2 separate regions of the Mus musculus genome follow, and region 2 is reported to be linked to region 1. The links are microRNA targets in miRTarBase. Many come from high-throughput screens and were not tested one by one. Region 1 holds a microRNA gene; the other region holds the end of a gene's coding sequence.
What was found. Region 1 holds the annotated microRNA mmu-miR-190a-5p (UGAUAUGUUUGAUAUAUUAGGU, at 3,613-3,634, opposite strand). A microRNA usually pairs through its seed, bases 2 to 8, with sites in the 3' UTR of a target mRNA and lowers its output. Matches are read on the target gene's strand: a 7mer-m8 pairs with bases 2 to 8, a 7mer-A1 pairs with bases 2 to 7 and ends in A, and an 8mer does both.

Region 1 (5,581 bases):
CCACTGAGCTACACTTCCAGGTTCCTCATATTTTAAACATTGCGTTTTAGGTTCTTTACACAAAGCACGTACACACGGATCCCATATTACATGCAAAGACCAAAGCAGGCTTCAAGGGACACGTGATATGGACAGGCACTGTTTTTGGCTTCTCCCTCAGCACTGGCCCAGGCAGTGGATAACTCAGACACTGTCACTGTTCCATACTGCCTTGCACGCCACTTCCAGGCCTGCACCACCCTTCCCCGAGGAGCAGTTCATCAATTCTCTTTGGCCTCTAGCTTAGACATGTCTCCATTTCACATTAAAACTTTCTAAGATGTTTACTGAAATTAAGCAGTTAGTGCATTCTCTTTTCTACCCTCAGGAGTCCTACCTCCTTCCTGATGTCTTTAGTGACCTACCCACCTTCTTTGATGTCCCCTGGGCAAGTATGGGCGGGAGGGCATCTGGCTCCGTAGTCCTCCTTCTCATTCACTTTGTGAATTATGTCCCTGAGACCCTTTACCCAGGAGTAGCCCTAACTTCTGCCTCAGGCTTAGAAAATGTCCATAAAATACTTTTCTCCCTCCTCCCTGTACCCCCAATTTTTCTTGTGACAGTGTCTCAGGCTGGCCTCTAATTATGCATGTAGAAGATGGCCTTGTACTTCTGATCCTCTTGTCTCTTGAATTAGAGGCATGTACTAGCATGCCAGGTGTATGGGGGCTGGAGACTGAACCCAGGACCTCATGTATGTTAGGCAAATACTCTATCAAGTGAGCAGCTCTATCTCCAGTCCATACAGACCAGACTTTTACAAGCGATTACTTATTATTATTACTGTGTATGTGTACATGTGTGTGGATACACGTGTCATGGTACACATATGGAGGTTGCAGGCCAGCTTTCTCTCCTTCCACTGTGGGATCTGGGGATTGAATTCAACTTGCTAGGCTTGCAAAGCAAGCCACTTTTATCCACTGAGCTACCTCACCAGCCCAGACCAGACTTTTTGAGAGCTAAAAAGTACCATGACTCTTCTCCACGCAAGCAGCTACATGTACCAAAGAGCTATTCAAGCTGTTTCTCGCCCTTCCATCATTTCACATCTTGCCACCTTCTGTGTTAGTCTCTTACTGAATGGCCACTACTACAAGAAGGTCGCATTCAGAAGTCAGAAGTCCAGTGGAGTTTTTTAAAAGTGTAAATGTGTTATATGTAAGTTAAATGTCCTCAAGGGAAAAACGGGGGCCAATACCTAGGACTCCCACAACGTGCAGGAGGTCTTTTCCTGACAGTTGGATGCTTGAGTGGAACAGGTGGCCATGTTTTCCTTTCTTGTGCAGAACCTGGCTGCTCCTGCCTAGCTTCTGGTTTTGACTTGAGAGATGCTTTGGGGAGAAAGTCTTGGCCAAAGCATACCATGGCTACATCAACTTGTGCTCTGAAGGACCAGTGGGTTGGCTGGCTCTAAGACCTCCTTCATCCTTAATAAAGCTAACAAAAGGCAAATCTCCCAGAACAGCTGGTACCCTTCACAGAGGCCTGGTCTCAGGGGAAGCTCAGGGTGACACAGAGAAACCACTGCTGAGCAAGTCATGTTAGTAGCTGGATACGCACCACCTTCACATCCAGATAGATAATAAAGGAATAGGTTCATGTAGCATCCATTGGAAAAGCCCCAAGCCTGCACAGTTAGTATCTTGGGAATAGTTTTTCCCCATATAATACAATTGCTTTATTACATTTTTTGTAACTTATATTCAATATAAAAAGTAATACCACTGAGTTGATCTTATAATTAGTCTCTGATGAAAATAAATTCTTTAGAATTCTGTCATACTCTCAAAAAGGGGAAGAAGGGGTCACTTGGACCTTGATATAGGAAGTATGGACAATAGAAGCCTTTCCATTATTCAATGAGATACAGTTTGGTTCATCTTAGGAATCTCTGGTATGAGCCTTCTATGCATCTAAGGACCTAACAAGGTCCTGGTAGAGAACCACCTGGCAATACACTCTCTGCTTGTCTGGGACCAAGGTCTGGCATGTGAGCTCCAAGCCTGTAGCTTAGCCATGCAGAAAACATGTTTGCTTTCCCATGTCACAGAACACCTGTGTGCCCGTTCCCACTCCCACTCAGAATATGAATCAGCCACATGGGAATGCCAGACAGCAGCAGAGTTACCCCCCATCCCAAATCTCACCACTTCTGGCAAGTGTCTTCATCCGAAAGACCTTTTAGAGCGATGCTTAAAAAAACTACTCGTTCACCAATGGTGGCTTCTACATATTCCCAAGTTCCTTTTCTGACGACCCCCGTCAAACTACTCTCCTGCCCCTGTAGGGTAAGAGGTCTTGCTCATCCACAGTTAGGAGTGCCATCAAGAGTTGTTTCCTCCTAAGGTAAAACCAACAAGGCCTGGGAGCATAGCCATGCTATTTCCAGGAAAAGTACTTATATAGTCTCTGTGCTAGACAGCTCAGAGTAAACTCACATACAGTTCACGGACTCATTTATGGGAAGAAGTCAAAGCAGCCAGAGAGGCTGATATATACCCGAAAGAATGCTTTCTGGGTCATAGCCCAACTTCCTGCGGCAGCCAATTAGAGTATTTGTTTACTTTCGGACTGCCGGGTTCTTCTAAATATTAACAACCTCTGTGCAGAAGTTCACCTACAACAGAAAACTCAACCGACAGAGCACAGTCCCGAGCATGTTCTCTTCATCAGACATATCTGATCCAAATTAAGGTCTGCAATTAAGGTTTACGGGCTCACCATCCGTAAAGTGAGCACAGTCACCAGGGTTTAGATTTGTTACCAGAAGCGGAAAGTTAGAGATAATAAATGTCCCGATTTTTTTTTTGGCATGGAAAACAATTACAAAATTTAATCTGTGAGAGTGTGTTGAGAGTTGTCAGGAAGAAATATCTAGATCAATGTGTTTGCCAGTTACAATCCTAACCTTTGTCCTATATCAAAGACACGGGTTGTTATCTTCCATCTTTTTCCACTGAATACTTTTCTTAAGGACTCCTAATTGCATTCAACTAAACTTTAGAAAATATCTTAAGCCTTCAGGAGCTATACTCCCTTTCCACAACAAACAGATAATGTAGTAGTATTGATACAGTTTGTTGTGGTCTGAAACAAAGCATCCCCCATCCATAATAAGTTAGTGTGTCTGAACATTTGGTCTTCAGCTGGCAGTGCCATTTGGCTATGGAAGCTTTAGGAATTCACAAAGCCTTGCTGAAGGACATACTGGCCTTTGAGGTTTTATGGCCTGGCTCCATCTGCTGTCCTATCTCTCTACTTCCTGACTGCCGGCCTTCCCTCTTTGATGGTCTGGCCCCTGATAAACTAAGCCATAATACACCCTTTTGCCTTAAGTTGCTTTTGGTTGGGGCATCCTGTCACAGCAACAGAAAGGTAACTAAGACACAGGTCTTAAAGGCTACACGAAGAAATGGAATGAAACATAACAACATACGCACTCTGTCATCTAAACCTACTTGTGATTTTTTAATATATTTTTTCCTGTTGCTTCTAAACTTTGTTAGGACCCCCGGAGACAGGGCAAGACACTGTAGGAATATGCTTGATATATAGTTGGATTAAATAACAACCTAATATATCAAACATATCACACAGAGGCCTGCAGAAAAGGCATCCAGGTTTGACTGAGCTTGAGAATATGGCTGTGGGAGTCAGTCACCTCTGCAGTATCTCCCAGCCTGCCTTGGAACACAGGCGTGTCTGTAGGTGTGGCAAGGATGCCATTAGCAACAATGCTGGTGGCACACACTCTGAGCCTGGGCTCCTTTCCCCAAATGAAAAGGGAGTCTGTGCACCTGTCTGTCACTCACGTCTGAGAGATTACAGGTAAAGGGAGGTGCTTCCATGGTCAGGGCCCAAGGGTGGAACTACACCAGAACCATCTTCACATGCCACAGACTAGTCTCCTTTTAAAACAGGTAACCTGAGAACCAGGTAATCAAAACAGCTGGAAGTCATCACCCTCCCTCCCTCCCTCCCCAAACTAGTCCTCCAAGCAGCACAGGTGCTCTGCCTGGGTGGAGGATAACCTCATTCACGTGGTATGGGGGTGGGTGGCCACAGTCACTATGGCAAGTATGCAGGAGCAGCTGCCATTTATGGCACCCTGAGGATTTTTGTCTTTAAGGTTACAGGACAGGATGGAGAAAAGTAACCTCAAATATTAGCTGGTTTTGCTGTTTCGGTAATTTTTTTTCTTTTAAGCCGAGGAAAAGTTCTTTTGTAACTGTCAGGAGGATGTTATGCATTGTGCAAGAAGTTTCCCACGGTGGACGGCCCTCCTTGCAAGCCCGGGGCTACATGCTTTGGGATGATAAGCTGCTTTGAGACACTTTCATGGATAATGCCTAGCAGTGTACACATAAGGGGTCCACACAGGCCGCCTCCGGCAACCATCCCTCATTTTCTTTTCTTAAGATTTACTTATTTATTTTAAGTGAGTACACTGGCACTCTCTTCAGACACACCAGAAGAGGGCATCGGATCCCATCACAGATGGTTGTGAGCCACCATGTGGTTGTTGGGAATTGAACTCGGGACCTCTGGGAGAGCAGTCAGTGCTCTTAACCGCTGAGCCCTCTCTCCAGCCCCCCTCATTTTCAATGTGTGTGGTTTTCAAACATTGTTTTCCAGAACTGTAAAACACAGAGCCTGCCGTTCCCTGGTCCCATTTCAAGTCTTAGCTGTTCTTTGCTGATCATCTCCGTTAGTTCCCAGCTTTGTGACATAAGCACTAACCATGGATGCCTAGGTGTTATCATTTCTCCCCATTTTACTCATTCCATAAGCATCTTCACGCTGTACAGTCTGGCAACCATTACTCTTCATTACTGTAACAGCCTCATCATTTCCCTTCAAGAAGACCCCAACTTCTTACTGCTACCAACCAAGCTTCTAGAACATCCCTCTCACACAAGTCTGGGTTTTTTTCCTTAGGAAAGGAACTGGAGACAAGTCTAACAGCCTAAGACACTATAAAGTGCAGTGGTCCTGAGGGACGGGAATCATTTTCTCTGCCAATGGGGTATCAGAGGGAGTACAGTGTTCAGAAACTGGGACCCCAGCTCTATGTTCCCTCCCCACTCAATCACACGGTCTGACAGTGGTGAGGACCAGATAAAATACTTAGGAGACTGGTCTGGACCGTGTCTTGTATTTACGGTAGCCCTGTCGCCCGCCCTCTTACCCAACTAGGGATCCATGAAAGACCTTATCTTCCACACAAAGATGAAAAATGAAGGTGTCAGAAAGCATATGTCTGGTCATAGTGATGGTGACAGAGGTGATAGCATTACCATTTACTAGTCAGGCACCATGTTCTTACGTTATCGACTTATGCTATAAGAACAATCCTGCAGGATGAAGGAGATCCCAGTAAGTCTGTTTTCCAAATCAAGAATGTTGACGCAAATGAGCAACCAGTCAGAGAAAAACAGACAAGAGCTGAGGAGGACCCTAGAGAAGGACAGGGTGGAGGCCAGGGGATGCTGGAAAATAGTGGAATATGGGTGATACACGAGCAGCAGGCCCATTCACA
Region 2 (5,237 bases), not on the chromosome of region 1:
GCACCATGGTGCTCATGAGGGGTGGGGGGACGCTTTAAGTCTTTTATAATTTAGGGTAAAGGAAGAGTATAATTGAATAAGCCAACAATAAAGTCAGATCTAGGAACACTGCCACAAATGTACATGCATCTCCAATAATGACAGAGCGCTACTGGGATTAATTCTGCCTATTGAAGACAATGGAATTCCTTGCTGGAATGGAATGGATCTAACAATTCCATCCACTTGAGAACTGCTCACCAAGATGGAATACACTGAGCAGCTGTGTTCTGGGGAGGAGAATGACTCCTCTGTGGAGGTACAGAGGGGAGGCTGACAGCATGTATTAGGCTTCAGTGAAAAGGTTTTAGGCTTCAGTGAAAACTTAGGAAATGCAATTGAAAGGAGGGCTTCCTTGAAGCTGACCTCACAGTATTTACAAGGAAGGTCCAAATTAGCTCTCAAAGTAGTTCTGAGTTGCCTTGGACTTTGAGCAAAGATTTGATTCCACCATTGTATCTAATACAGGGGCGAGATGGGACTTTGCAAGTATAGTGCAGGGATTACAAGGGCACCTTGCTGTTTAAAACAAGGGCTCAGCTCAGATCTTCCACTACAGGTGTTTGCTTGGCTTTGCCTCTTCTCCATGAACTAGATGTACTGGCTGGTTTTGTGTATCAACTTGACACAGGCTGGAGTTATCACAGAGAAAGGAGCTTCAGTTGGGGAAGTGCCTCCATAAGATCCAGCTATGGGGCATTTTCTCAATTAGTGATCAAGTGGGGAGACCCCTTGTGGGTGGTGCCATCCCTAGGATGGTAGTCTTGGGTTCTATAAGAAAACAAGCTGAGCAAGCCAGGGGAAGCAAGCCGGTAAGGAACATCCCTCCATGGCCTCTGCATCAGTCCTGTTTCCTGACCTGCTTGAGTTCCAGTCCTGACTTCCTTTGGCGATGAACAGCAATGTGGAAGAGTAAGCCAAATAAACCCTTTCCTCCCCATCTTGTTTCTTGGTCATGATGTTTGTGCAGGAATAGAAACCCTAACTAAGACACTAGAGTTGGTTATTTGCAAAATATATCGACAATTGACTAAAAGATTTGCTGGGTGGGATTAATCACTTCAAATGCTTATCTGCTGAGTACCCATTCCAGGCTTTATGCTAACAGCTTTCTGTGCACCCTATTTTAACTCTGGTAGCGATTTAAGAGAAGTGTATCAGTTGCCCATTTCAAAGGACAGGAGATTGAGAGATCAAAATCAGCTTTCAACAAGCTCTTCAAGTTATCTGTGTTCACTGGGAAGCAAGCGTCATGAGCTATCAGCCAATCTGGTCATGGTCAGGTTTACTACCTAAGTTCTTACATTTACTCCACAGGAGCTGCTTTTCAGTGTTATGTAATAACAAAAAAATCGACCAGAACCCTACTATCCTGCTTTCCCGGAAAACAGGTCAGGCTTTTTAATTAACAAACTGAAGTAACCTCAGATTATTAATACAACCCTCCAATGGGGAGTGGATGAGCAAGTCATTATGAAAAAAAAAAAACAAACCCTCAGTCCTGTTGTCTGAAAACCAGCTAAAGATTGAGTCAAAAGGCAGACAGGCAAATCCAGGGTTGTGCAAGGTGTGGTTTATTAAAATCGTATGGAGAGTTTAGTACGTCTTAAGTGGTGGCAAGTGCGTCTCTACACTCCAAGGTAGGAGGAAGGAATTTATGGAAAATAAGACAAAGATGAGTGGAATCCAGCCTTAATGTACTTGGCCTTTAAAAATAAAAAAAGTTAACAGTTAAGAAACCATCTAGAGTCAGCTAAGAGCTAAGGTGCTTGCTGCCAGTCTGGAGATCTGAGTTTAAAAATCCAGGTTAGATACTGTGAAAGAAAAGAACTGACTCTCCATAGCTTGTTCTCTGATACACACACACACACACACACACACACACACACACACACACACACACCTGCACGTAAGCACACAGGCAAACCTGGTAAAATGTAATCAACTGTGGACCAGAAATGACAATATAAGCAGACAATTGAAATAGATCAGCTGCATCATACTAGAATTAAATAAATGTTCAAAATAATAAACTAACATATGAGGTTAAGAGTACTGTGGACTGGAGAGATGGCTCAGCAGTTAAGAGCACTGACTGCTCTTCTGAAGGTCCTGAGTTCAAATCCCAGCAACCACATGGTGGCTCACAACCACCTGTAATAAGATCTGACTCCCTCTTCTGGAGTGTCTGAAGACAGCTACAGTGTACTTACATGTAATAAATCAATAAATCTTTAAAAAAATAAATAAAAATAAGAGTGAGTACTGCTGGTCCAGGAGTCTCCAGTTCCTTTCCACGAGTGCTGGGTAGATCACAATCACCTCTAACTCTGGCGCCAGGGCATCCGCTACTTCTGGCCTCCATGGGCGCTCACATCCATGTGTACATGCACATTCGCATACATGTAATTAAGAATAAATCTTTTTTAATTAAAAAAATTAACATGTGCCACAAAGCATCTTATAGTAAGTGTTCTGTTTCGGTTTTCCACAAAGCAGAGTAAAAAATCCCTGTAGTGCAGACTTGAATAACTACACTTGGCTTCCCTTTATTTATTTATTTTTTATTAAAAATTGAAATTCCACTAAGCAATTTCTATAGAGTGATACAGTGTTTGAACAGCTTCCTTCTCTGACTCCTGTTAAAGCTTTATATTTTAAAACGTCTACAGGACATGTGCTCACATGAGTATTGAGTATCACACTAACCCACACACGGGTGACACTAGCAGCTTTATTGCACAATGACCCAGGTAACACTGCACATTCTCTCTGTTTCCTATGTCATAAAGTGCTACATATAAATGGGAGAGGAAGGACAATCACTAAACACAAATCCTCCACACCTTTCTACACGAGCTTAGGGGTGTGTGTGTGTGTCAGTCAGTGCTGCGTCAGACGCAGTGTGATTGGCCTAACAGGCTTCCATTAAAAATAATCAAATAGAGCCGGGCAGTGGTGGCACACACCTTTAATCCCAGCACTTGGGAGGCAGAGGCAGGCAGATTTCTGAGTTCAAGGCCAGCCTGGTCTACAGAGTGAGTTCCAGGACAGCCAGGACTACACAGAGAAACCCTGCCTCGAAAAAATAAATAAAATAAACAGCTTTGGTTATTCTACTAAAATGTTAACATTCCATACATGATCAGTGCTGAAAACATGTCTTAGTGTCTGGACATTTTAACTTTTAAAAAGGCAATTCAAATAATCAGAAGGTAATTTTGCAGAAATTAACATTCAATGTAGAAAAGATATAAAAACTGACTAGACACATCCTTGTGATTTTCCATATTATTTCCTAGGAATTTTGTACTTTACTGATTCACACTACAAGTGCTTATGACCACACAATGAGCCCACAAATAATGCCATCCAACTGGACAGTAGTAACATGTAACATGTCTGGTATTTCAATGCTGCTGAAAATGGGCAGTGAACTTCTCAGATTTGTAAACAAAAACCATAAAACCCTGATGTACAACATAAGTACCAAACCCATAAAATTCACAAGACACAAAGAGACACGTGTTCACTATCAGTCCATCTTCCCTAGTAATTCTGAAAAATAATTCTTTGCTATAAATATGAATATTTTCTAAAGTAAGAAAATTTGAAGATAACATTTCCTGGAAATAATTATATTGTAGTGAAAAGTTGCACGGGTTCAAGAACCCTGTGTTTTTATATGAAACGATGCTTGTTACATGTGCCAGACAATGGGCATTACAACAAGGACACTGTTAGAGATGTCCTTACTAATACAGTCTGTGGTCTACAGGGAAAAAAGCAGTATTCATTTGCCAGGCGATGAATATTCTCAGTAGTTACACACTTTAAAATACACAACTTTCTACTTAAATATACTACCATTTTATGGCCTTTGTCATTTTACCTATCTATAAATTTATTTTTCTATTAACATCAAATGCAAGACACATGGCTTAGTACTAGTTTCTATCAGTAAGCATTCAAAAATATCTTCTCTTTGGACATGAACATGATACAAAATGAAAAGGAAAAAAAAAAAAACAAGCTCAAAGAACCACAATAAATACTTTGTATCCCACCCCAGCCCCCAAACAAAGGGACATGAATAACCAATTAGACTTACATCAATTAGAGTCCCTGTGGCCAAAGAGAAGGACTTCCATTGTAAAGTTATCTATTCTAGACCAGTTAAGACAGAAAGCCTCCACTCCCACCATTTGTAATAGGTAGGACAATGACGTGGAAGAGACAAGGTTGTGAAGTCCTTCTGAGTTTTAAGAACCATACACTAGCTGGGGATGGTGGTGCCCACCTATAATCCTAGCCCTCCAGAGGCTATAACAGAACAGAGTTTGAGGCCCGCCTGGACTACACAGCAAGACCCTGTGTGTCACAGCAGGACAAGACAAAACAAAGAATCACACAGTACAAACAGGTGTGGTGACAGAGACGTAAATGATATGTAATTAGATTAACATCAAGGCATGGCTTTGTTCACGGTTCTTATCCTCATCAGTCACGTGGGGTGTCCAAGCTACACATCCTCTTCATATTCCAGATACTTTGCTGTGATGGCTTCCTCAAGCTGAATTCCTCCGCTGCCCATCAAGGCAAAGGCCGGATACATTGTATGCGAACAGTCCACCTGGCGCTCATACAGGCATTTCATGTGGTCCATATCATAGAAGCTCACTTTGCCTTTATCACAGTCAAGGAAAATCCCTATACTCGTTGGCATGGGGAGAACTCTGTTTTCTGGTTCATTAGAGGAAGTAGGTGACTTGGGTATAAAAAATTTCTTCATGCCTATAGTAACTAATGTAAAGGGCTGTGAAGAATCAAAACAGGCGTCCTCGCTTCCACTGTCATGTCCACTGTCTTGCTCATATCTACAACACAACAATAAACACAGTGACTCACCTCCAGCCACAGTCTCGCAGGGTCTTCAACATACTCAAAAAATAATGCACACTGCTCTAAAGTTAACACACACACAAATGTTCCATGAACACACCTAAAGCACAGACTATAAGTTGTCCTGCAGAGTTGTCCTCTGTGCTCAGTGTCAAATTCACCACAGTAGCATCCATTTTTATCTAAATTTAAATACAAATAGCAACTTAAAAGCTTATTTCCATTGGAAAGAAATCAGAAGAATCGAGGAGCCTAATTTGAGATTAAATATGTATGGTAAGTCATAAAATAAAAAG

Region 2: the mRNA of Trim36 is a reported target of mmu-miR-190a-5p. Seed matches in the 3' UTR shown: 8mer at 4,484-4,491.

What each region holds. Positions count from the first base shown.
Region 1 is chr9:67,233,088-67,238,668 of GRCm38, forward strand. It overlaps Mir190a (microRNA 190a), which reads right to left and starts at 3,639; the gene lies at 3,573-3,639. All of the region lies in intron 53 of Tln2 (talin 2), which reads right to left.
Region 2 is chr18:46,162,852-46,168,088 of GRCm38, forward strand. It overlaps Trim36 (tripartite motif-containing 36), which reads right to left. Exons shown (of 10, transcript NM_001170855.1): 10 at 2,449-4,916. The coding sequence ends at 4,562. Among named protein-coding and RNA genes, the nearest start is that of Gm52355, 23 kb to the left of the region's middle.